Linked DNA regions of Macaca mulatta. The protein of the gene in region 5 interacts with the protein of the main gene of each other region in a pairwise test. Links are inferred from orthologs where the notes say so. Each region holds a gene or a part of one and is shown on either strand. Other genes may lie near its edges. The genes, in order: EXOC7, GABARAPL1, LRRC45, TPM3, KXD1, CCDC185 and MOB1A.

The links.
Region 1: the proteins of KXD1 (region 5) and EXOC7 interact in binary tests that used the Homo sapiens proteins (3 or more experiments, as listed by UniProt). The two-hybrid records come from large-scale screens. The link is inferred for Macaca mulatta from reciprocal best matches to the Homo sapiens genes KXD1 and EXOC7.
Region 2: the proteins of KXD1 (region 5) and GABARAPL1 interact in binary tests that used the Homo sapiens proteins (3 or more experiments, as listed by UniProt). The two-hybrid records come from large-scale screens. The link is inferred for Macaca mulatta from reciprocal best matches to the Homo sapiens genes KXD1 and GABARAPL1.
Region 3: the proteins of KXD1 (region 5) and LRRC45 interact in binary tests that used the Homo sapiens proteins (3 or more experiments, as listed by UniProt). The two-hybrid records come from large-scale screens. The link is inferred for Macaca mulatta from reciprocal best matches to the Homo sapiens genes KXD1 and LRRC45.
Region 4: the proteins of KXD1 (region 5) and TPM3 interact in binary tests that used the Homo sapiens proteins (3 or more experiments, as listed by UniProt). The two-hybrid records come from large-scale screens. The link is inferred for Macaca mulatta from reciprocal best matches to the Homo sapiens genes KXD1 and TPM3.
Region 6: the proteins of KXD1 (region 5) and CCDC185 interact in a two-hybrid assay, tested with the Homo sapiens proteins (2 studies listed by BioGRID and IntAct). The two-hybrid records come from large-scale screens. The link is inferred for Macaca mulatta from reciprocal best matches to the Homo sapiens genes KXD1 and CCDC185.
Region 7: the proteins of KXD1 (region 5) and MOB1A interact in binary tests that used the Homo sapiens proteins (3 or more experiments, as listed by UniProt). The two-hybrid records come from large-scale screens. The link is inferred for Macaca mulatta from reciprocal best matches to the Homo sapiens genes KXD1 and MOB1A.

The regions. Positions count from the first base shown.
Region 1 is NC_133421.1:85,825,751-85,829,250, reverse strand, and holds part of EXOC7 (exocyst complex component 7), read left to right. Parts: intron 1-1,852; coding exon 1,853-2,020; intron 2,021-3,500. UniProt on the Homo sapiens protein: Component of the exocyst complex involved in the docking of exocytic vesicles with fusion sites on the plasma membrane.
Region 2 is NC_133416.1:10,332,548-10,336,047, forward strand, and holds part of GABARAPL1 (gamma-aminobutyric acid receptor-associated protein-like 1), read right to left. Parts: intron 2,540-3,500; coding exon 2,421-2,539; intron 1,227-2,420; coding exon 1,161-1,226; 3' UTR 1-1,160. UniProt on the Homo sapiens protein: Ubiquitin-like modifier that increases cell-surface expression of kappa-type opioid receptor through facilitating anterograde intracellular trafficking of the receptor. Involved in formation of autophagosomal vacuoles.
Region 3 is NC_133421.1:91,697,831-91,700,489, reverse strand, and holds part of LRRC45 (leucine-rich repeat-containing protein 45), read right to left. Parts: intron 2,087-2,659; coding exon 1,974-2,086; intron 1,599-1,973; coding exon 1,540-1,598; intron 1,311-1,539; coding exon 1,233-1,310; intron 975-1,232; coding exon 839-974; intron 765-838; coding exon 687-764; intron 605-686; coding exon 493-604; intron 391-492; coding exon 320-390; intron 1-319. UniProt on the Homo sapiens protein: Component of the proteinaceous fiber-like linker between two centrioles, required for centrosome cohesion.
Region 4 is NC_133406.1:112,859,409-112,862,908, reverse strand, and holds part of TPM3 (tropomyosin alpha-3 chain), read right to left. Parts: intron 3,256-3,500; coding exon 3,138-3,255; intron 3,036-3,137; coding exon 2,965-3,035; intron 2,163-2,964; coding exon of another isoform or gene 2,087-2,162; exon of another isoform or gene 1,548-2,086; coding exon 1,472-1,547; intron 776-1,471; coding exon 713-775; intron 535-712; coding exon 465-534; coding exon of another isoform or gene 451-464; exon of another isoform or gene 429-450; intron 1-428. UniProt on the Homo sapiens protein: Binds to actin filaments in muscle and non-muscle cells. Plays a central role, in association with the troponin complex, in the calcium dependent regulation of vertebrate striated muscle contraction.
Region 5 is NC_133424.1:19,116,238-19,119,737, reverse strand, and holds part of KXD1 (kxDL motif-containing protein 1), read right to left. Parts: intron 1,702-3,500; coding exon 1,655-1,701; intron 505-1,654; coding exon 275-504; 3' UTR 1-274.
Region 6 is NC_133406.1:81,272,842-81,276,218, reverse strand, and holds the end of CCDC185 (coiled-coil domain-containing protein 185), read right to left. Parts: coding exon 1,675-3,377; 3' UTR 501-1,674; downstream 1-500.
Region 7 is NC_133418.1:50,632,009-50,636,260, reverse strand, and holds the start of MOB1A (MOB kinase activator 1A), read right to left. Parts: upstream 2,801-4,252; 5' UTR 2,740-2,800; coding exon 2,600-2,739; intron 1-2,599. UniProt on the Homo sapiens protein: Activator of LATS1/2 in the Hippo signaling pathway which plays a pivotal role in organ size control and tumor suppression by restricting proliferation and promoting apoptosis.

The DNA.
Region 1 (3,500 bases), on a different chromosome or scaffold from region 5:
ACAGAGTGAGACTCTTGTCTCGAAGAAAGAAGGCTGGGTGCAGTGGCTCACGCCTATAATCCCAGCACTTTGGGAGGCCTAGGCAGGCGGATCACCTGAGGTCAGAAGTTCGAGACCAGCCTGACCAACATAGAGAAACCCCGTCTCTACTAAAAATACAAAATTAGCTGGGCGTGGTGGCCTGTAATCCCAGCTACTTGGGAGGCTGAGGCAAGAGAATCTCTTGAACCCAGGAGGTTACGGTGAGCTGAGATGATGCCATTGCACTCCAGCCTGGACAACAAGAGCAAAACTCCATCTCAAAAAGAAAGAAAGAAAGAAAATAAAAACTTCAACTCCAATAGATATCCAGTATTGCACTTTTTTTTTTTTTTTTTTTTGAGACGGAGCCTCGCACTGTCACCCAGGCTAGAGTGCAGTGGTGTGATCCTGACTCACCACAACCTCTGCCTCCTGGGTTCAAGCAATTCTGCCTCAGCCTCCCCAGTAGCTGGGATTACAGGTGCCCGCCACCACGCCCAGCTAATTTTTGTTTATTCTCAAGGGTGCAGGGATTAGGTGTAAGTGTCTGAAGATACTTGTAACCTTCTTGCCGTCACTAGCTCCTCTCCAAATAGATCAGGCCAATTGATGGACTCATTGACAGTTCCATGGCCATTTGTTCTTCATTAATTTTTGTTTTTGCTATCTGATAGGACTATCACAGTACTCTAACTTTTTAAATTTGTACTTTATTAATGGCTAAAGATGTGTGTTTTTCATTCACTAACATCTGTTGTCTGTTTGCTTCCTATAGAGCTCGTGTTCTTTGACCCCTTACCAAGTTGAATCTGGATATTAACTTTGTTTTTTTATTAAAAAAAAAAAAAGTACGATTTAAACTTACAACTAGGGCTGGGCGCAGTGGCTCGTGCCTGTAATCCCAGCACTTTGGGAGGCCGAGGCCAGTGGATCATTTGAGGTCAGGAGTTCAAGACCAGCGTGGCCAACATGGTGAAACCCCATTTCTACTAAAAATACAAAAAATTAGCTGGGTGTGGTGGCGGGCACCTGTAATAATCCCATCTACTTGGGAGGCTGAGGCAGGAGAATCGCTTAAACCTGGGAGGCAGAGGTCACAGTGAGCCCGTGCCATTGCATTCTAGCCTGGGCGACAAAAATGAAACTCAGTCTCAAAAAAAAATAAAAAAACTAGGGCTGGGCATGGTGGCTCATGCCTATAATCCCAGCACTTTGGGAGGCCGAGGCTGGTGAATCATTTGAGATCAGGAGTTCAAGACCAGCCTTGCCAACATGGTGAAACCCCATCTCTACTAAAAATATAAAAATTAGCTGGGTGGAAGTGGCGCATGCCTGTAATCCCAGCCACTCAAGGCTGAGGCAAGAGAATTGGTTGAGCCTGGGAGGCAGAGGTTGCAGTGAGCCATCACACCACTGCACTCCAGCCTGGGCGACAGAGTAAGACCTTACCTAAAAAAAAAAAAAATTACAACTAATTATCAGTTCTATCGGAGGGTGTTTTTCTCTTTTAAGATTGCCTGGCCGGGCGTGGTGACTCACGCCTGTCATCCCAGCACTCTGGGAGGCTGAAGTGGGCAGATTACTTGAGCCCAGGAGGTCGAGCCTGCAGTGAGCTGACATCGTGCCACTGCACTGCAGCCTGGACAACAGAGCAAGACCCTGTCTCAAAAAAGAAAAAAAAATACTTTGCCTGATTTGGGACAAGATATGGGTGGCTTGCGACCCAGAGCAGACAGCAGATGCTAAGAAGGGTTGACAGGTAGACATGGTGGGTCTGCAAGGCAGAGGCAGGGCCTGGCAGCCATACCTCTATCGCTCTGTATCTCCTCAGATTTCATGAACGTCTACTACCAGATACGCTCCAGCCAGCTGGACCGCTCCATCAAGGGCCTGAAGGAGCATTTCCATAAGAGCAGTTCTTCCTCTGGGGTTCCCTACTCCCCTGCTATCCCCAACAAGAGGAAAGACACACCTACCAAGAAGCCAGTCAAGCGGCCAGGTGAGCCCCTATGCTGGCCCATCTCTGCAACAGCCAGAGGCTGACTGGAACTGCACTGCTTTCATCCAATCTAGCGTTCGCAGCGTCAGACCCCTCTAGAGCTTGTCGTTATGGTAACCCTGACTGTAGGTACACAGGACAGAAAGCAAGTGTCTACCCAGCCAGTGAGGCCCCCGCAGAGCAAGACCCTTCTACCCAGCAGAGCCTGGGGGTGACACAGCTTCTTTGGAGTGAGGGAGTAACACAGGTGCTCAGTTAATCCTGCCTGAGGCAGGCGGCAGAGGCTTCTAGGGCCGAGCCCCTGCCTAGGCCTCGTGCCTCACACACACATCACCCTGTCAGGAGACCAGGCACACTGCTGCATCCAGGACGCTGGGATAGCGAGGGGATAGGTGCTCCAACCTTCACCTTCCAGAAAGGCAAGGTGACCTGAAGTGATGTGTAGCTGAGAGCTGGATGGGGAGAATTTCACTTTCCCAGTCGATCCAAAAAGGAAAGAAACCCCAGAGCATCTTCTCAGAAGAACTTAAACTGGCTTTGGGCTCCAGTGCGAGTCAGTGCCTTGTGGAAAGAGGCACCGTGATGAGAGGCCTGGGCCGGTGGGTGTCGCTGTCCTGGGTGAACATCTCGTCATCTGTCTGTTCTTTCTCCCTGGCATCATGTCCCTTGTAGTCTGTGCTCCAGGTAAACAGTGTCTCTGCCAGCCACAGCTTGGCAAGCCCGGCTGTCTCTGGCCACTGACAGATGCCCGCAACTCGATGACATGCTGGGATGTTCTGGGGTGGGGCTGCTGAGATTGCTCTGGAAGAGAAAGCTGGAGAAGCCAGGGCTGCTCCCACCCAGGCTGGCCCCCTGTCCAACTGCTGCTGCAGGCACATGCCCTAGGTGTGGCCTGTGGGACCTGCTTATGACAATAGGCTTTAGGTAGAGCTTACTTACACCCTTGGTTTCTCCAGTCCCTACCTGCCCATGCCTCTCAGAGACCGAGGTGTCTGTTCCACAAGAGCACCCGCTCCTCTCCAGGCCTTTGTTTAGGGTTTAGAGAAACAGGCAGAGTAGGGGCTGCCCTCAGGGAGTAGAGCATTAGGGAGCTGGTGCCTGGGGCCTTCTCCCTCCAGTGTGGATGTCCTGCCCACCCAGCCAAAACCTGCAAATGGGGACTGCCAGCCCAGCCTGTGGGCGCAGCTGCCTGCACAGCGGATGGAGCAGCTCTGTACCTTCTGTGTGGTGGGGAGTGGCTGTCTCTGTGAGGCTTCGAGGATGCTTTAGCCCCAGCCACTCTGTGCTCACTTCCTCTTCTACCTGGTTCCCTGACAGGCCCCCTGGAAGCCCCAGAGCCCTATTTGCACTGCCCTAAGAGTGCCCGCTGGCCATGCAGCCCCCTGGCCTTTCAGGCAGGAGGGATCTGATCTCAGGTAGCTTACAGTGGACCGCATCCGTCCTTGGCCCAGGGACACAAGAGGAAAGCTCTCCGGCTGTG
Region 2 (3,500 bases), on a different chromosome or scaffold from region 5:
CCTTTTCATTAGCAGAGATGAATTGAAATGTCATGTCTGAGTGCAATTCCTGCTCCCCACTCCCACCCCACAAAACCCCAAAAGTGAAAATAAATCAATAAAATCCCCATGATTTACTAAAAGTCATCCCTCCAAACCTTTCTAACTAGCAGCTGCAGTGGATGATAACCAAGGAGGGAAGCAGCTGGCCATCACATAGCATTCCTGTGCGTGTGAGCCTGAAGGGACAGCAGCATGGGAGCAAGAATCCTGAATGAGAGGTGTATATAATTACCTTACTTCACACTTGCTCCCTCCCTACATAAGACATCTCTGTCCTGATACATGGAAAATACTAGAGGAGATGCTAAGAGTGGTTTTAGTCTACAACTGGAAATGCCTGAGACTTAAATTCCAAGGTAGGGGTGAGATAAGGGGCACCAGAGAGAAAGAACAGGTTAGACAGAGATGCTCAATAGTCTTGTCAATTCCAGTTTAATGCTATTTAATAACAAAACAATCTTCTTAATCATAACCACCTTTATGTCTAACCCCTATTTTCCAAAGGTAAGAGATCGCTGTCTAAATTTCTGGGTTGTGGTCTACTGCCACCCCTGGGGTGGTACTGTGATGTTTGAGTGAGACTGCAGCTGGGATGGGAGAAAAGAAGTGTGAGACAGGAAAGAACAGGGGCCACAATGCATCAATTACAGTGGGTCTCTTTTGGTCCCCAGGTATGGTCCACTACCACAAGTCCCCTTTCCCTACCTGTCCTGTGCAAATGTCAAAAATAGAATCGCTGCCCAAAGAGAAGGGAGCACAGGGAGTTGCTGCTGGACTACCATCATCTCTGGCCCCAACTTGTCCACCTCCTGACCCTTCTATGAAACTGCACAAAAATTAAATCTCAGGAATGCTGTGAAATTACATCATCCGTATCCCTCTACCAAAGCCAATCCAACAGCTCTGTCCTGACATGCTTTCTCCCTGGGCCGAGGAAGCAGCAAAAAATATCAATTGAGCATGTGAAAATATGATGACGGTGTGTGCGGTGTAATGTTTCTAGATGTCTTCACCTTCTGTCTCCTCGCGGTGGGAGTCACCCTCTTTCCCCAAGTCGCACGCACACCCCTCCCCTACCCCCAAGTCCAGGTGCTCCCATCTGCTGGGCTTCCAACCACTCATTTCCCATAGACACTCTCATCACTGTAGGCCACATACAGAAAATAGTCTTCCTCATGATTGTCCTAGGGGAAGAGATAAGACAACAGTTTAGAAAACATATTCATTCATTAGCTCTAAGATGCTAAGCCTCACACAAGCTTGTAAAGCAGGTATGGAAGGTATCGTTCATCCCCATCTAAAAGGGGAGCAAAGAATCAGGAGATGTGGTTGGAATTACACTTTGAGCTCTGAGTTCACAAACAAAAATCCTTCACTGAAAACATATTACACATAGGTATCAGGGATATGAAGATGACTGGGGCACAGTACTCACTCTTAAAGAGCTCAGTCCTAGCAAGGGGAACATAGATACCACAGATGGGATATATAAGGGGCAGATACTAACAGGGAATATATGCTATGCAATAAAAGTTAGATTCAAGATTATTATAAATTTATGTAATCCATTAATAGGGCATAATGAGAAGGAAGCATCTTATGCAAAATACTGCAAAAAATAATAGTTACAATCCTAGGTTATATTTTTAGTAATAATAAAGTCCTTTACTATAGTTTCTCCAAATTCTGACACTTCCAATTAAACAAAACCACATAAAAATTATTCCTCCTCAGTTTATCTGTTAAGACAAATGAATCCATTTACAGACTTTGCCTTAATTTTATATTTCATTTGATCTGATTCATTGTGCCCAGATAATGTGGAATCTGTTTCACAGTTTTCGTTTTGTTCTAAGAAGAAGTTTCCCTCTGTTTAGATCAATGTGTTTGTCTCAAGCCAAAACTTCAGAGTTCACAGAGGAAGCTGACTGTAGCGGAGGCTGGCCTCAGAGTTAGAAGCTGGCTTTACTATTATGTGCTTTCTCAATCTGTTGCTAAATGGGAGTAAAATAATGAACTGGATTCTGAATGCATTACAAATTACAGACTACCAACAAGAAGAGCAGGAACTGCGATGGGCTGATGCTTTGGAACTTTTGCTATCAGGAGTCACTTCCTGCTGTTTCAATAAACAATCCCACATTAAACACTATAGTCAGACAAGACTGAGAAGAGATTTCAAAAGGATTAAATCTAGTAGAGTGCCTAATCCCTGAAAAACAAGTGGTATCTAATCTCTCAGAGCCTTACGAGGATCCGGATAAATAACACCTTCTGCCCCACTTCTCAGTTGTGTTATCAACATATACTAGAACAAGAGCTAGAGGATGCCAGACTGCCCTGGACGGCATCCAGTATTGTTCGGCTAGAACCATTACCTCATACAGTTGGCCCATGGTAGCACTGGTGGGAGGGATAGTGTTGTTGACAAAGAAGAATAAGGCGTCCTCAGGTCTCAGGTGGATTCTCTTCCGGATTAAGAAGTAGAACTGGCCAACTGGATGATGGAAGAAAAAGGCAGACAAGAAAGGAAGAAAACAAGGAATTAGTAGAATGGTAAGTCCTGGAAAAAAATTCAGTTGCATTTTTTCCCCTTAGAGTCAGTACCAGTTTTATATACCACCTGAGAAGAGCCAAATACTATCCTGGAGCTTTCAAAATAAAAAGGGAAACTCAGAAGCCCGTACAGTCCCTGATATGCCATAGTGGACTTTATTCCTCCTTTCCTCTCTTATTCAATCTCAGACCTCATGTTAGCATATCCACTCAAAGCCTGAGGACTACGCTGAAGGAATACCACGTGCATCCAGACCAAAACATTCCCATCATTGTCTAAACCCGACTTGAAACACTTTCCATCCCCAGACCCACCCTAAGAAAAGCTTAGCAATGAAAGGGGTCCACTGGACACTGGTCATCTTAGCACAGTCACTCAACTCAGTGTTGGGGCATTAAATAAGGTTCAGTGCTTTGCCTTTACCTGAGAATACTGAAAACTTTCTAGATGGCTGATATTCAAACCTGTTAACTCTGAAGCAAATCAACAAAATCTTTCCAGTGTCTCCTGGATGCAGTGTGTATTCCATTAAGGCTCAAGATGAAGACTGAATATATGTCTTATAATCCCAAACAAAATCTACAAAACTTATTTTTTAAAAAATGTAGCTTAAGAAGATGTAATCAGGAAACTCTAAAGCATAATCCTCTCAAGAAACCAGACTGGTTTTCTTTTTGGAACAAATTGACATCACAATTAACAAAGCTGAATTTTTTTTTTTTTTTTTTTTTGAGGCGGAGCGTCACCGTGTCACCCAGGCTGGAGCGCAGTGGCACAATATCGGCTCACTGCAATCTCTGCCTCTAAGGTTCAAGCAATTCTCCAGCCTCAGCCTCCTAAGTAGCTGAGATTACAGGCGCCCGTCACCACATCCAGCTAATTTCTGTATTTTTAATGAAGA
Region 3 (2,659 bases), on a different chromosome or scaffold from region 5:
CCTTGTTCATTCTGAGAAAGCACTGCCTCGGGTGGCCTAGCAGGAAACTACCCTAGCATGCGCACACTGCACAGGTGGGGCTTGGTGTCTCTTCAGCGGCAGCCTGTACTACGGCTGAGGCATGGCCGGGGTCCCCTCCCAGCCCCAATAGAAGGTTCTGGGTCTGACATCCGCTCAGGCTGGCAAAATACAGCCACCCAGTGACCCCAGGTTGGCAAGGGGAGCTCCCACCGGGCATGTGCTTTGGGGACACCTGCATGACACCAAGGACAGAGGCTGAGGAGCATTAGAGGCCAGATGAGGCCAACAAAGAGGGCACCTCCTTGACGCGCAGGCTTTCCGAGTCCTCCAGGCTCTGTCTGCACCTTCTCTTCTCCATGTCCAGGCGCTCTGGAAGCCCAGGGGGCAGAGCGTGTGTAAGCATCTCCTGGGGGACCCTGTCCCCAGGGTGCCCATCCCCAACCCTTCCACAGCAGGCCTGCCCACGCCCACCCTCGGCCTGGATGGCCCGCATCTTCAGCTCGGCTGATGTGCTGGTCAGTTCCTGCCTGGTCTGGAACAGCTGCTCCTGCTGACACCTGACCTTCCGCTCCAACTCCTCTACCTGGAAAGCCGGCACCAGAGAGGGAAGCTGCAGCCCGGCCCTGCCGTGCCCACCCTGGGCTCCCTGGCTCCGCCACAGATACCTGGTTTTGCAGAAGCAGGTTCTTTTCATTAGCAGCAGACAAGTCTCTGAGGAGCTTAGACTCCCGCTCCGCAGCTTCCTGGGAGGGGAACGTGGTATGGGCAGTGAGGGTCACGAAGCTGCCACCCACCCCTCTCAAGCCCGCCCACCCACCTGCTGCTCCAGCTTGAGCTCCTTGGCCTGCCTCTGCGATAGGCTCAGCTGCTCCTGCTCCGCTGTGGCCAGGAGCTCCCCCAGGTCCTGGGCCTTCTGCTCTGACAGAGCCAGGGCGGCCTCCGTCATCTGCAGCCTGCAGAAAGGAAGGCCAGCACCCCCGCCCCGGCTGGAGCTTCACGTGCCTTACAAAGTCCTCGCTGCTCTCACTGTTGCTGGGCACCTAGTGAACCCCAGCCAGCACCCGCCTCCTCCAGGAAGGCTTCTGGGTTACTGCCCCAGCCTCACGGTTTCCCACCTCTACATTGCAAACGGGACTTGCACACAGGCTCACACCACCCTCCTCTGCGCTGTGGGCACGTTTCTGAAGTATCCTGAGCCACTCCCTACTTACTTGGCTTTGAGAGCGTTGATGATGGAGTGCCTCTCATTCAGGGCTTCCTGAAGCTGTCCTACACGGGCTGCCGACGCCCTGTGGGCAGAGAGGAGGGTGCAGAGAGTAACCCAAACCCCAGAGCGCTCCCGTACCCCTCTGGCCTCGGTAGCTGCTGCTGTTCCTTAAGCATCTACGGTCGCCTGGGCACTGAGCCTCCAGCCACCACCTCGTGGTCTCACTTGTGGGCTCAGGTTGGTCCCATCTGAGTCTGAGCCAGGACCCAATCCCTGAAGCCTTGTCTTGCCCCTGCCCTGCGCCCGCTCACCTGCTGCTCTTGGCCATCTCTTCCCGCTGCTTATCAATGGTCTCCAGCAAGTCCAGAAACTGGGGACAGAGACAGCCACAGCCCTGTCAGAGCACCTACAGCCTGTCCACACGACCTTCTCGGGGGAAGGAGAGCCGGTGCCCACCAACACAGCAAGGCAGCAAAGGGCTCCACCCACAGCGCCCTGTCTCCTTCACAGGAAGGGTGGCTCCTGCAGAGGGAGGCCTTGGGGCTCAGACACCAGCTCCCCAAGGAAGCCCACCTGCAGGAGATCAGACCAGGAGGCCGCCCTCCTTCCCGGTACGAGCCACTCAGACAGGCTCTGCGGCCCCAAGGAAGGGAAGGTGGGCAGACCACGGGGCCGAAGGAGGCAGGACATGGCCAGGCCCTCCAGCCACGAGCAGCTCCAAGGTCAGTGAAGGCGCCATTCTCACCTGCTTGGACTTCTCCTCCCGGAGGTGCTGGACCTCCTTGCTGAGGACGTGAGTGCGGGCTTGGTTCTCCTGGAAGGTGGTGAGCCGGTCCTGGCTGTGGCCCATGGCTTGCTCTGCAGAAGGGGCTGTGTCAGCCGGGCGCAGGGGCTCATGCCTGGAATCTCAGCACTTCGAGAGGCCGAGGTGGGCGGATCACCTGAGGTCAGGGGTTCGAGACCAGCCTGGCCAACATGATGAAACCCTATCTCTACTAAAAATGCAAAAAATTAGCCGTGCATGGTATTGCACACCTGTAATCCCAGCTACTCAGGAGGCTGAGGCAGGAGAATCGCTTGAACCCGGGAGGTGGAGGTTGCAGTGAGCCGAGATTGCGCCACTGTACTCCAGCCTGGGTGACAGAGCGATCTCAGTCACACATACATACACACACACACACACACACACACAAGGAGCTGTGTCACCCCGGAGCTGCTTAGCCTCAGGAGTGGCTGGTGGCCACCAGCCTTGCACCCGGCGGCTGGCTGCTTGGGAATCAATGCCTTGTAGGGCAAGGTCTCTCCTGGCAAGTCAGGGGTGCCCCCTCAGTGCATGAGGGTGGAAGGTGCTTCGTGGGGTTGGGGCTGTGAGCAGGAGGCACCTGGTGTTGGGGGGTGCGGGCACACGTGGGGCAGAGGTGGTGGGGGCTG
Region 4 (3,500 bases), on a different chromosome or scaffold from region 5:
TTTAGAAAGCTCCTGACAGTGGTCAGTGTTCAGATGTGGTTACTCCACAACTTCATTTCTTGGATAAATACCCCACAACTTGAGTGGTGAAAAGAACTGTGGAAAGTAGCCATGAAATGACCTGCACCTTGCCCTTCTGAAATCATGGCTTCCGTTTAAACCCACAGACTAAAGGTTTAAGACTACTAAATTGGAGATTAATGCAGCCATTATCATTCTCCTCAAAGGGAAGGGTACAAATTGCAGACTATTTGGTGAAGTCTTCTTAAAGGAAAAGATTACATTTGAAAAACCAATTCTAGGGTTTGACCCACTTTGCCTAGCTGTGGCATAGGACAGTGCACGTATTAATACATGCCAAGTCATACCAACTTCCTTTGGTATACAGAAGAAGAGATTAATAGTTAATGGGCAAGGTCTTCCTCTACATTTCTCTATTTCAATCCCTACTCAAGGTTCCATACCTTCCAAGTCATCAATTGTCTTTTCCAGCTTGGCTACCGATCTCTCAGCAAACTCAGCACGGGTCTCTGCCTGGGGGAAAGATGAAATTAGTCAGAATCAGAGATGAAGACAAAGAAGAACAATCTCTATTTCTTCCACCTTCTACTTCTGGACCTTTCAGAACCCAAACCAGCCAGTCTAAGTCCACATTAATGTCTTATATACCTCTAAATGTTTTGGGTCCTGCCCTATAATCCCCTCAGCTCACCTCCTTGAGTTTATCAGTAAGAATCTTGATCTCTTCCTCATATTTGTCTTCTTTTTGAGAGTACTGTAAGATAAGTAAAAATTTCAGAGTAGAAATCAATCACACAAGCAATACCCACCTCCCTACACTTAACTCTTACACTGAATATCCTCTTGGACTAAATGTGCTGAATGGTCCAAGAGTAAGAGCAAGGCCTGGCTCTGGAAAACAGGTCCTTGAAATCCAGAAATCTGTCTTTAGAGCCATGAGATCCTCAGGTTAAAATTCTCCATGACTTTTTAAGATGGATCTAAGCTTTGATATTATTCAGATCAACCCAAGGAGGTGTTTTTCCCTTCCCCGGCTTAATGAGCAAGAGTAGTGGCACCCCAAGGTCACATGACTAAAACACACCCACATGATGGCAAAGTGAAGTCATCTGTCTTGATTGCTCATTAGGTCTCAGAGCTGATTCTGTCTGTTGCCCCCATCTGTCTGCCAGAAAGCCTGTTAGGGCCCCTGATTATTGCTTTTCAGCACAGCAGTATCAGCCTGAGGAGCACATGACTCCAGTAACCTGAGACCATGAAGTTATTTTAATTAAAGCAATCAAAGTGCACAGAAAGTAGCATTAAACCCAGAACCTGAATACATGGTAAGGAGGTAGGAAAAGGACATGCCTCATTGAATTATATATGGAATGGGTGTCTCCAGTCTTTCATCAAGGGCAGGGCTGGGCCCAGGCCCCAAAGCCTGTCACTTTCACAAACCAGCCCCTACCTTCTCCGCCTGAGCCTCAAGAGACTTGAGGTTGTTGGTGACATTCTTCAGCTCCTCCTCCAGCTCAGAACACTTACTGTGAATATTTTAAATACCACAGGAGAGGAAAAGGGAAAAGGAAGAGAATAAAAAAAGGGAGAGAGACACACAGACGTGAATTGAACCTATATGTAGAGAGAGTTGGAAGGCATACTGGGGAAGAGATGTTCCCAAGTAACCTGAGCAAGCATCAACCCTCCTCCCTCTACCATAGAACGTGTCAGGAGCTAGACCTTCCTGGGCTCAAAATGTTTGAATACTAATAAAGCACTTGAGAGAAATCCACTACCAGGAATGAGTCATAACTGCTACCTGGGGTGGAGGTGGGAACAAATGCCCAACCCAAACAGTCCCCCAAATCACCCAAAGGAAGGAGACCCTGCGGAGAGGCAGTAAAGCAACTAGGAAAGAAGAGATGAAAGATGCCAAGTAAGTGGAAAAGAATGGAGCATTCCATGAAGAGATGAGACAGCACTCAACAAAATCAAGTGGAGGGGAGGCAGCTGCAAAACAAAAACAAAACAAAACAAAACCACACCATATATATAACCTTGCTGTGGGTTTAATGGTTAGTACCTTTTCTTCAGCAGCACTCAGACACTTCAGGTTCTGGTCCATCAGTCTAATCTGCTCATCCATCTCTCGGCAACGGCTGTTAGTGATAGTCACGGGGATGGCACAAGCCAGGTTGTGGGGAGGGAGAACGGTCAAAAAGGAACACAGCAAGAAAACAAGCAGCAAAACGAAAAAAAAAATTCAAAAAATGGGAAGAGAACACCACCATGGTCATGATATGTTATGTCTGGCAGACGGGAATGTAAGAGGGAAGCACAAATATATATGCATCAGCACTGACTTTGTTAATCAAGGCCGAGAAGGTACCAACAGGGGAGCAGTTAGTATCTACCCTTGCCCTAAAGTTCCCCAGCAGATTGGCAAAGTGGCAAAAACAGACACCAGATTTTTTTTTTTTAATTTTGTTTGTTTTAGGGACAGGGTCTCCCTATGATGCCCAGGCTGGCCTCCAACTCCTGGGTTCAAGCAATCCTCCTGCCTTGGCATCCTAAGTAGCTGGGACTACAGGTGTGAGCCACCACACCCAGCCAGACACCAGATCTTAAATCAGGATAGCCACTTTGATGTCTTCCACCCCAGGTGGAAGGACCCAGTAGGATCTTCCAGTTAACTGTTCACCATGTATTAGTCCTTATTTGCTCTCAATTTGTAAAACCTACCAACAAAAAATAAGAAAGCCTCTTTTGTCACTTGTCACTAGTCAGGAGAATAAGGAAGTCTACAACCATTCTTGGACCTAAAAAAGCACTATAGATGACTCCCATTTCCTAGGCCCTGTTTAACAAGGTTGAAGGAATGCTAATTTATTCATATTAGTGCCCAAGCCAAAGGGGAAGGGACAAATTGGTATGACAAGATTTGGGGAGCTAGATACTTACGACTCTGCCAGCTCAGCTCGTTCCTCTGTGCGTTCCAAGTCTCCTTCAATGATCACCAACTTACGAGCCACCTACAGGAAAAGATCCCAGTATAGCTTAGTGAAGCAAAGGAGCCATTTACCACATTATTCTTTGTAAAAGGCTGAGAGAGGGACTAACAGAAAGTCACTTACCTCTTCATACTTCCTATCTGCCTCTTCTGCAATGTGCTTAGCTTCTTTGAGTTGGATTTCCTGGAGTTCCATCTTTTCTTCATCTTTTAAGGCCCGGTTTTCAATAACCTTCATACCTCTGCCAGAAACAGGACAAAAGCAATACTGACACCCTGAGGAGTGTCGTCAGCTCCACTCCAAGGGTCTCAGAATTGTACTTTTAAAAGCCCATTCCTCTCTATCTGCCCTTCAAATGGAAATTCCATGTTACTACTCCCACACCTTAGTTTAATTATTTCATTTAAAATGTTTTGTTATGGTTGGGTGCGGTGGCTCACGCCTGTAATCCCAGTACTTTGGGAGGCCAAGGTGGGCAGATCACCT
Region 5 (3,500 bases):
CCCGTGCCCAGCCCTGCGACTCCAGCCGGAATGGGCGTGCCCTGGCATGGCAGAGGGGTCTTGCAGAAGAGAGGCGTTCTGAGGAAGGAAGGAGCCAGAATTAAAGACCCCCCAGGAATTTCACACCCCTCGGGAGACAGCCCTGTTCCCCTAGGAGCCCTGAGTGACAGAACGGGGCAGCAAAGGAGCCCTGGGTGACAGAACAAGGCAGGGTTACCCGCTGCCACCTTGTATGCCACTGCCCTGAGACCCCTCAAGGCACCGGGCAGTAGGTCTATTCGCCCGTCGTCTCCTCCTCATCTGTCTGGCTGCGGCCGTTGATGGCTGGGGAGCCAGGCTGGACATGGGACAGGTCCTCGAAGCCGGGGCTCAGGGAGGGCGAGACGGTGTCGGGGCTGGTGTCACATGAGCCCGTGCTCTGTTCTGAGGTGGCGATGGTGGTCGTGGTGCTGGGTGGGATGGGGTCTTCATCCTCTTCCTCCAGGAAGGACGCCTCCGGGATATCTGGAGGAAGGAGGCCCAAGAGTTGGTGGTGTCACCTTGCGAAGCACTGGGATGTAGGATTTATTGTCCATGTGACCCATAATGGCTGCCCTCACCCCATGGGGGCATGACTTGGCCCCTTTTTTTTTTTTTTTTTTTTTTTTTGAGACGGAGTTTCGCTCTTGTTGCCCAAGCTAGAGTGCAATGGTGTGATCTCAGCTCACTGCAACCTCCGCCTCCCGGGTTCAAGCAATTCTCCTGCCTCAGCCTCCCGAGTAGCTGGGACTACAGGTGCCCGTCACCACGCCCATCTAATTTTGTATTTTTACTACAAACGGGGTTTCTCTATGTTGGTAGGGCTGGTATCGAACTCCCGACCTCAGGTGATCCACCCGCCTCGGCCTCCCAGTGTTGGGATTATAGGCATGAGCCACCGCGCCCGGCAGACTTGGCCCATTTTTATTTTGTAGAGGAGGAAACTGAGGTCCAGGCAGGGAAGAGCTCTCCCTTCAAGGTGAGGTGAGGAAGGGACACAAGCTCTGGGGTTGGGCCTACAGGAGCCGTGAGGGCAAGCCTGGCTCACTGCACTACCTGGCCTAGGTACATGACCTCCCCTCAGCCCGGCTCTCTGCTCTGTAAACTGCTGTTGGAGGCCCTAGGATGGAGAGCCGTCGGCCTTTTCAACAGATGGGATGAACCCAGGCTCAGCCTGCAGAGCCCTTTAAGGTGGTGGCAACATGGAGTGGTACCTCAGAGAACAGACGGGCTCTTTAGCCAGACGGATGTGCACTCAAGTCCCGCCCCTCTGGGCCTCTGTTTCCCTCTCCATGAAACGGGGATACTCACAGTCCCCACCTCATGGGTGACTGTGGGTAACAGCCTGGTTCACAGGGGCTCATGATGCACACGGGGATAAGGATCATCATGCCACTTATCCACATTCCCTGTGCGGCCTCCCCACAGGGCACGGACTCCCGTCCTAGCGCCAGCCTTGTAGGCTGCCGAGAAGACCAGGCCAGCACCCTGCCCCCGCCCCCGCCCCAGGTTTCTCCAGACCCACTGCCCATTACAGCCTGGTCTCAGGATCAGGCCCCAAGGTGGCCTTCCAGAAGCCTGCCCTGGGCGGAGAGTGCTGACATGCTCGGGAGCCGGAGCCCTGTGTGACACTTACGGCTGAAGGCCTCTGGGTGCTGCCTGGCCAGTTTCCCTTTCAGCGTCCTGCAGGGGAGAGAAGGCACACAGGGCTTAACCTGCTGAGCAGGCAGGCCAGGCCTTGTGCCAGTCACAGGCCCCTGCTGCCGGCTGAGGGCAAGGGGAGACGGGAGTGAGAACCCCACACTGTTCATCACATCACATCTTCACTCTCTCCAGGTGCTCGGCCCCACAGCCACGGCCCTGACAGTCACTCACCAGCCGGCCTCCAGCCCCAGGGTAGGCAACAACCCCCAACTAGTTAAGACTCTGGGTGCTCTGAGCCTAGGCACTGGCTGGGGGCTCCCCCTACAAGGCCCCTTCTTACATGTGGCCTCCTCTACTCTGATAAACTCTTTTTTTTATTTTTTGAGACAGAATCTCGCTCTGTCACCCACGGTGGAATGCAGTGGTGCCATCTTGGCTCACTGCAACCTCCACCTTCTGGATTCACATGATTCTCCTCCCTCAGCCTCCCGAGTACCTGGGATTACAGGCACGAGCCACCGTGCTCAGCTGATTTTTTGTATTTTTTTTTTTTTTTTTTTTTGAGACAGAGTCTCGTTCTGTCGCCCAGGCTGGAGGGCAGTGGCACGATCTCGGCTCACTGCAAGCTCTGCCGCCTCCCGGGTTCACGCCATTCTCCTGCCTCAGCCTCCCGAGAAGCTGGGACTATAGGCGCCTGCCATTGTGCCCGGCTAATTTTTTTTTTTTTTTTTTTTTTTTTTTGAGACGGAGTCTCGCTCTGTGGCCCAGGCTGGAGTGCCGTGGCCGGATCTCAGCTCACTGCAAGCTCCGCCTTCCGGGTTTACGCCATTCTCCTGCCTCAGCCTCCCGAGTAGCTGGGACTACAGGCGCCCACCATCTCGCCCGGCTAGTTTTTTGTATTTTTTTTAGTAGAGACGGGGTTTCACCGTGTTAGCCAGGATGGTCTCGATCTCCTGACCTCATGATCCGCCCGTCTCGGCCTCCCAAAGTGCTGGAATTACAGGCTTGAGCCACCGCGCCCGGCCCCGGCTAATTTTTTTGTATTTTTAGTAGAGACAGGGTTTCACCGTGTTTGCCAGTATGGTCTCGATCTCCTGACCTCGTGATCCGCCTGCCTCGGCCTCCCAAAGTGCTGGGATTACAGGCGTAAGCCACCGCGCCTGGCGGTTTTTTGTATTTTTAATAGAGACGGGGTTTCATCATGTTGGCCAGGCTGGTCTCGAACTCCTGACCTCAGGTGATCCGCCTGCGTCAGCCTCCCAAACTGCTGGGATTACAGGCATGCGCCACTGTGCCTGGCCATTCCTGCCTTTTCATTATGTGTCTAGCACTATGTTACCTTTTTTTTTTTTTTTTTTTTTGAGACGGAGTCTAGCTCTGTTGCCCAGGCTGGAGTGCAGTGGCCGGATCTCAGCTCACTGCAAGCCCCGCCTCCCGGGTTCACGCCATTCTCCTGCCTCAGCCTCCCGAGTAGCTGGGAGTACAGGCGCCCGCCACCTCGCCCGGCTAATTTTTTTTGTATTTTAGTAGAGATGGGGTTTCACCATGTTAGCCAGGATGGTCTCGATCTCCTGAACTCGTGATCCGCCCGTCTCCGCCTCCCAAAGTGCTGGGATTACAGGTGTGAGCCACCACGCTCAGCTGCACTATGTTACGTTTTTTAAGAATAAATAAACTGCAAGATTGAGCGTGATGGCTCATGCCTATAATCCCTGCATTTGGGAGGTCGACGTGGATGGATCACCTGAGGCCAGGAGTTTGAGATGAGGCTGGCCAACATGGGGAAACCCTGTCTCTACTAAAAAAAATACAAAAAGTACACAAAATACAAAAATTAG
Region 6 (3,377 bases), on a different chromosome or scaffold from region 5:
CGGCTGTCCTTGAACATTTTTGAGGAGAAGAATAAGGGTCCTACCGTAGGCCTCTTTGGGGATACCAGGCAGAAGGGACTGGGGCAAGGGAAGAAAATGGAATGGGGAAGAGGGCCTGGTTTCCATGATAAGAGCCAAGAAAGTGGACCTCAAACTGACCTTTGCACAAAATCCTTTGTCAGGTTATCTTTAATGTTGTTTTAGAATTACTAATAAGATATAAATCTCCCAATGGAGCTTATTCTATTTCTCTCTCTCTAATACAAATGTGACACTAGGGGCTTTTTAAAGAAAACATTTAGAGAGTTCAATAAAGACTCTGAGATATGATGGGTTAATTTCTATTTAACTTTTGGCTCCTTATTTTTAAAATGTCATATTACTGAGTCATGCTTAGTCATTGACTCAGGGCCTGGTTAGGTTAATTAGACACAATGTGGGTAGACAGAATGACATCACATACCTCCTTCAAGAGACAGAGGAGAAATAGAGGAGAAGAGAAGGATTCCAATAGAATTTTATTCTGTAAGGCTGGATAGGACTGACCAAAAAAAGAACCAGACCAAATAGATTCCAATGAGATCTTAGATGATGCATTAGTCTGCTTTCACGCTGCTGATAAACACATACCCAAGAGTGGGTAATTTATACAGAAAAAGAGATTTAATGGACTCATTCCATGTGGCTAGGGAGGCCTTACAATCATGGTGGAAGGTGAAAGACAAGAGAGAATGAGAATCAAGTGAAAAGGGTTTCCCCTATTGAAACAATCAGATCTCTTTAGACTTATTCACTACCATGAGAACAGTATGGGGGAAACCCCCACCCCCATGATTCGATTATCTCCCAAGGCCTCTCCTACAACACGTGGGAATTATGGGAGCTATATAGCTCAAGATGAGATTTGGGTGGGGACAGAGCCAAACTATATCAGATGGTGTGGCTGTGGTGGAACAGTCAAGAAATAGTGCTGATGGAATTATAAATACTTCCTATCAATACAGGGAGGGAAGGCCAAAGAAGTTCACAATCAGATAAGAACTATAGAGTGCCATTTTCAAAAATGTTTCACAGAACATCAATTCCATGAAATTATCTGAGAAAAAAAAAGAGGTGAGGGACATTAAACATTAAGTTTCTTTACTGCATGTCTTTAAAATTTTAAAGTGCATTATGAACTCCCAAGAGAGGATATAGTATGCAGGGTTCCCAAATCTACTCGTTCACAGGAATCCTCCCACTTCACTCTTTTTAAAATTTCTTTTTGTCTTGGAGATTTCTTATGATGCGTACTTTATACTTCACCCTTTCATAAGTTCTGGGACAGGAAAAGACTTAAGACATGTCACAGAACTGTATCCCTAACTATAGATTTTTCTCTGGTGTCTCCAAAATGTGCCTGTTGTGTGTTTCTCAGATTACTTGAGAGCTAAATGAATATTTTGTATTCAAATCGAAATTCACAAAGCCAAGTCATTTTCATAGAAATTCTCAAAATTTTCTCCCCGACCCTCTAAACTATCCAAGTGAATCAATAAACCAGTTCATGAGAGGAAATTGCAGCTATTTTATATGCTTTTTTAAAATCAATGTTCAATTATAATCAGATTACAAAAGGAATCACATTGCCACATCTCCTTCTGGCTGGCGCTGTAAGCCAGGCGTCCTTGGTTCTCAGTAATCCCTGTTCTGCTGACAGGCACGGAGCTGGGCCTCTAGTACTATCTGATCAAGGGAGCTGTTGGGAGGCGCTCTCTCTTCTCTCCTGGAGGCCTGAGGGAGCTTCTGGAACTCCTGGAAGTTTGGGTCTTTCCCTTGGGTAATGTGCCGCACCCTCTGCTCCTTTTTCTTAATGGCCTCCTTGATGCCTTCAATGTGGCACTTTTCCTCCTTCTCGGCTTTCAGTTTCAGGATGTGGTGGTTTTTCTCCCTCAGGTGGTTGAGCTCCCGGAGGTGCTGCACCTTGTCCCTAGTGGTCTTGTGCACGTGATTCCTGGCCTGTCGGATCTTCTCATCTGCCAGCTCCACCAGAATCCTTTTGCGCATCTTCCTCTGCTCCTCTGACTCCCCTGCACGCCACCTGGCCTGCTGCAACTGCTCTTCCTCCTTCTGGGCCTTCTCCCTCAGCTCGCGGTGCCGCTCCTTCATCAGGCCCTGGTGTATCTCTTGGGACCGCTGGAAACTTTGTTCCAGGGACAGCTGCCTAAGGAGCTCCTCAGCCTTGGCCTGGCAGTCCATGAGGACCTTCCGGGCCTGGTAATTGATGAGAGAGCTCAGGTTGGTGTCCTGGACCTTCTTCTGTCCCTCCACGGCATGCAGATGCCTCTTGCGACAGGCCTCCACCAGCCTCCTCTGTAGCTGCAGGGTGTGTTGCTCCCGGAGGTTCCGTTGCATCTTCTCCTGCTCCCGCAGGCGCCGCACCTGGCACTGCTTTCGGTGCTCTGCCTGGGCGCGCGCCTTCTCCAGCTTCTCCTGGCGCGGGCTCTCCTGGTCCTCAGTTTGTTCCTTCCACCGGCTTTCCCCCGGGGTCACGTTCTTCCTCTGGCTGTCCCGCCGCCGGCAGCGCTGCTCAGGGCTTTGGAGGGTCTTGCGCTGCTCCTTCTCCTGCCACTGCTCCTGGCTCTGCTGCAGCAGCAGCCGGCGTTCCCGCTCCAAGGTCATCTGGACCTTCTGATCCGAGCGCTTCAACTCCTCCCAGGCCTCAGCCGCCTGCTGCTGCAGCTCCCGCATCCTCTGGGCCTTCTTGAGACGGGTCAACACGAGGGCCACAATCTGCTGGTCCTGGGAGGACACCACTGCCTCTTCCAGCTTGCTCTTCAGGACCTGGGTGTGGGGGCTCCGCATCTCTTTGCTAGAGGCCGAGGGCTGGGAGTCCCGGCTTGCTAATGACTCAACCTGGTCGCTGCTGTCTCTCTTCTGGGCGCACCCGCAGGCTGAGTGCCTCCTGAACTTTTGGGAGGGCACAGAAGACCGCTCCGAGGGAACTGAGGAAGCGGACCAGCGACCTAGATGTCTGCCGAGCGGCACTGCCCACTGGTCTCCACCCTGTGCCTTTTCTACCCTGAATGTGCCACTCAGGGGAGTGCCAGCTCCTCCGGAGTAAGGCGGGGGCGAGTCTCCCTGGGCCAGTGGGTAATGCGGGCAGGGCTGCGGCCGCTGGGGTGGCAGCTGGGTCTGCGGCTGCCAAGCTGGGCGGGGCTTGGTTCCTGTCTCTCCCCAGGCATCTTCTAGGCGCCTGCTGCGGAGCCCGTGCTTCCTGGAGCGGTCCAGGGGCCTGCGGACCACATCGCTCAGGCTTCGGCTGCCCCGCGGTGAGTCTGAGCACCCGCGCCTGCGAGGCCGCGGCGTGAACGAACAGTGCGGGTGCAGCCAGCACG
Region 7 (4,252 bases), on a different chromosome or scaffold from region 5:
TTGTTTTTAATAGGGAGAAACCTACAAGCAATCCTCAATTTTATCAGTAGAGGACTGAATTAAAGTATGGTACATCCATATCATGGAATATTGTATAGAAGTTAAGAAAACCAGACAGAGTACACGTATTCACAAGGAAAGATCTAATACATGGTTAAACATAATACACAACCAAATGTACAGCAGGAGCCCATTTTGTAAATGCACAGAAAATATCAACAACTAAATTCATCAAAACTGGTGATTACTTCTAGGAAGAGGAATGGAATAGAATTACAGACTTTTACTTTACCTGAGTAATTTGGACTTTAAATAAGACTGATTAAGAAGAAAAAAAAGAGCCGGGTGCGGTGGATCACGCCTGTAATCCCAGCACTCTGGGAGGCCAGGTGGGTGGATCACTTGACGTCAGGAGCTCTAGACCACCCTGACCAACACCGTGAAACCCCGTCTCTACTAAAAATAGGAAAAAAAAAAAAAAAATTAGCTGGGCGTGGTGGCAAGTGCCTGTAATCCCAGCTACTTGGGAGGCTGAGGCAGGAGAATTGCTTGAACCCGGGAGGTGGAGGTTGCAGTGAGCTGAGATGGTGCCACTGCACTCCAGCCTGGGCAACAGGTGAGACCCTGTCTCAAATAAAAAAAAATTTTAAATTTAAAAAAAGAAGTAAAAAAGAATTATGAAAACACTGAAAATCAAATCTGAAACGTTTTTAACGTGATAAAAAATTATACTGAACAGGGAAGAAAATATTTGCAAATCACAGATGTGATAAGGACTTGTATCTAGAATGTATAAAGAACTCTTACAACTCAAAAACAAAAAGACAACCCAATTTAAAAACAGGCAAAAGATCTAAATAGACTTTACTCCAAGGAATATATACAAATGACCAATAAGTACACGAAAAAATGCTCAACATTATTAGTCATTAGGGAAATGCAAATCAAAATCAGGAGATACCACTCCACATCCACTTAGGATGACTATTAAAAAAAGAAAATTAACAAGTGCTATGAGAGGTGTGGGGAAATTGGACCCCTCATAGAGTGCTTATGGGAATGTAAAATGGTGCAGCACTTTGAAAGTTTGGCAGTTCCTCAAAAGGTTAAACACAGTTACCATGTAAGCCAGTAATTCCACTCCTAAGTATATACCCAAGAGATATGAACACATACATCCACGCAAAAACCTGTCACATATGTTCACAGCAGCATTATTCATAATGGCCAAAAAGCGGCAACAACTCAAGCGCCCATCAAGAAGGTCAAGTTTTAAAAAAAGAAAGTCTCGGCCGGGTGCGGGAGTGGATCATCTGAGGTCAGGAGTTCAAGATCAGCCTGGCCAACATGATGAAACCCAGTCGCCACTAAAAATACAAAAATGAGCCGGGTGTGGTGGCTGGCGCCTGTAATCCCAGCTACTAGGGAGGCTGAGGCAGGAGAGTCGCTTGAACCCGGGAGGCAGAAGTTGCAGTGAGCCGAGACCGTGCCATTGCACTCCAGCCTGGGTGACAGAGCGAAACTCGGTCTCAAAAAAAAAAAGTCTCACATTAAGGTCCACAAAGCAACTGTGCATTCACTAACTAAATATCAACTCGTAAGAAAAAAGTGGAGGGAGGAATACTTCTATTAATATGGAAATTAAATCTAAATCATACAGGCTTTTTGACAAGGTAATCGTATTTTAGAGACCATTCCTTTACGAGAATAACCCAAAGGAGGGAAAATGAGACGCAGATAAACATATTCTTAGTAGTCCTATTTTATAAAAGCAAATACTGGAAGGAATCCCAGTCTCTCACAATAAAGTGGGTGAACTCTGGTTATTTAAAAAAAAAAACAAAAACCGGCCGGGCGCGGTGGCTCAAGCCTGTAATCCCAGCACTTTGGGAGGCCGAGATGGGCGGATCACGAGGTCAGGAGATCGAGACCATGCTGGCTAACGCGGTGAAACCCCGTCTCTACTAAAAAATACAAAAAATTAGCCGGGCGAGGTGGCGGGCGCCTGTGGTCCCAGCTACTCGGGAGGCTGAGGCGGGAGAATGGCGTGAACCCAGGAGGCGGAGCTTGCAGTGAGCTGAGATCTGGCCACTGCACTCCAGCCTGGGCGACAGAGCGAGACTCCGTCTCAAAAATAAAATAAAATTAAAAAAAAACCTATGTAGTGTTTTTATATTGTATTTAATAAAAATGTCAAGCATGTGGATTGCATCCATAACTAAAAATGGATAACTACTCAATCAGGAAACACACATTTAAGCAATATACAAGGTAGAGAGCGCCACCCGAGAATAAAAAATACTTTGCCAGAGCAATGCTTCTCAAACCTTAATGTGCATAAGAATCATGAGGGAATTTACAAGCTTTTTCATTGTAGCCTTGTTTGACTGGGCTCAGGCATTATCTCTAAAATGAGATTCTAAGGTATGTGTATCAAGTTAATTGCTGTAGTGCACTGAAATAGCAATACTGTTTCTGTAATGGGACTATGAATTTGTTTTAATTTTAACTTTCCAAATTATTTATAATAATACTGCAATGTACTATGGAATAATGTTGTATGGTATATTACATAATGATTAAAAACACACGATTCTACCGAGGACAAGAGAAGTTGGTTAAAATCAAAACCAGTAAGTGGGCAGAATCAGAATTGGACAGAACGATCCGACTCCAAGGCCCGCATCTTAACTTCAGGCTTCTCAAACTGCGGCAACGCACATTCTCCCGGAGCGGCATTCAACACCGACAATACTGAAACTGGACCTATAACCGAGCGGCGAGTTAAGTCGGCATGGACGGTTTCTAGAAGCTCGAGACGAGGGAAACTGGGGGCTCGCGGCTCCGCCCCCAGATCGTCTCCTCGCCCTCGGGGGCCCTCGGGCGGAAAAGTTTGCAGGCGCTACGGCCCCGGGGCCTTTCTACTCCCCAACCTTCACGCTCCGTTTCCTTTACCTCACCTTCACCTCTGTCGGCCTCTCCCAACATCTCGGCCTCCCCCGCTGACCCAAACAGAGGCAAAACAAACGCCAGCTACCCCGCCCCCGCCCCGGCCCCCAAGCCCAGCCCTCGCCTCAGGTCCGGGGAGGCCTCCCCCACGATCTCGGCCCGCAGCCCCAGTGCCCGCGGCCCGGCCCCACTCACAAGAGGAAGCTCATCTTCGGTCCTCAGATGGGAGGCGAGGGGCCTCTGGCCCCCGCCCGGATCAGGATTCGGAGCCGGCGAGAGGGAGAGGACCGTCCTTTGGTCACGGGCAGCGGAAGCCGGGCCGCCGCCGCTCGGAGCCGGATTTCTGGCCGCTGCGAGCCCTTGCAAACCTCGGCGCCCGCCTTGCCCGCCTACCCCACCTCGCAAACCCGAAATGCGGAACCAACAAAATCTCGCGAGCTAAGGTTTCGCGGCGCCGGGAGGGACTAGACGCACCCCCTTTCGCTCCGCCTCGTCCTAGAACTTGGCCAATCATTGCTCTCCAAGCCAGGCCCTCCCTCCCCGGGAGGCGTGGCGAGGACGGCGGTCCTGCGGAAAGGGCAGTGGCTAGTCCTGCTCTTAGTCTATCTTGGTGCTGCTGAGTTTCGACCCAGCTCCCTAGGTTGCGCAGGGTCCTCTATAAGCGCTACCTACCCCTGCAAATTTTAAAATTTTTAATTTTTACTTGAGATATATTCACATAGCATAAAATCTATCCTTTAAACATGTACCCTCTAGTGGTCCTTTTCGTTTATGTTTTTTCTTTTTTGAAGTGTCTCACTCTATCGCCCAGACTGGAGTTCACAGTTCACTGCAGCCTGGACTTCCTGGGCTTAAGTGATCCTCTCGCCTCAGCCTCCCGAGTAGCTGAGACCACAGGTGCGTGCCACCACGCCCGGCTAATTTTCTCAAAGTTTTTGCAGAGACGGGGGTCTCACTGTGTTGCCCAAGCTGGTCTTGGACTCCTGGGCTCAAGGGATCCTCCTGGTTTGGCCTCCCAAAATGCTGAGATCACAGGTGTGAGCCACTGCCTCCGGCTTTGTTTATGTTTTCAAAGTGTGCCAACCATCACCACTAATTTTTTTTGTTTGTTTTTCAGACAGAGTCTCACTTTGTAACCCAGGCTGAAGTGCAGTGGTGCAATCTAGGCTCGTTGCAACCTCTGCCTTCCAGATTCAAGTGATTCTCATGCCTCAGCCTCCCGAGTACCTGGGATCACAGTCGTGCGCCACCACACCCGGCTATTTTTTTTTTTTTTTTCAGTAAGGACGGGATTTCACCATGT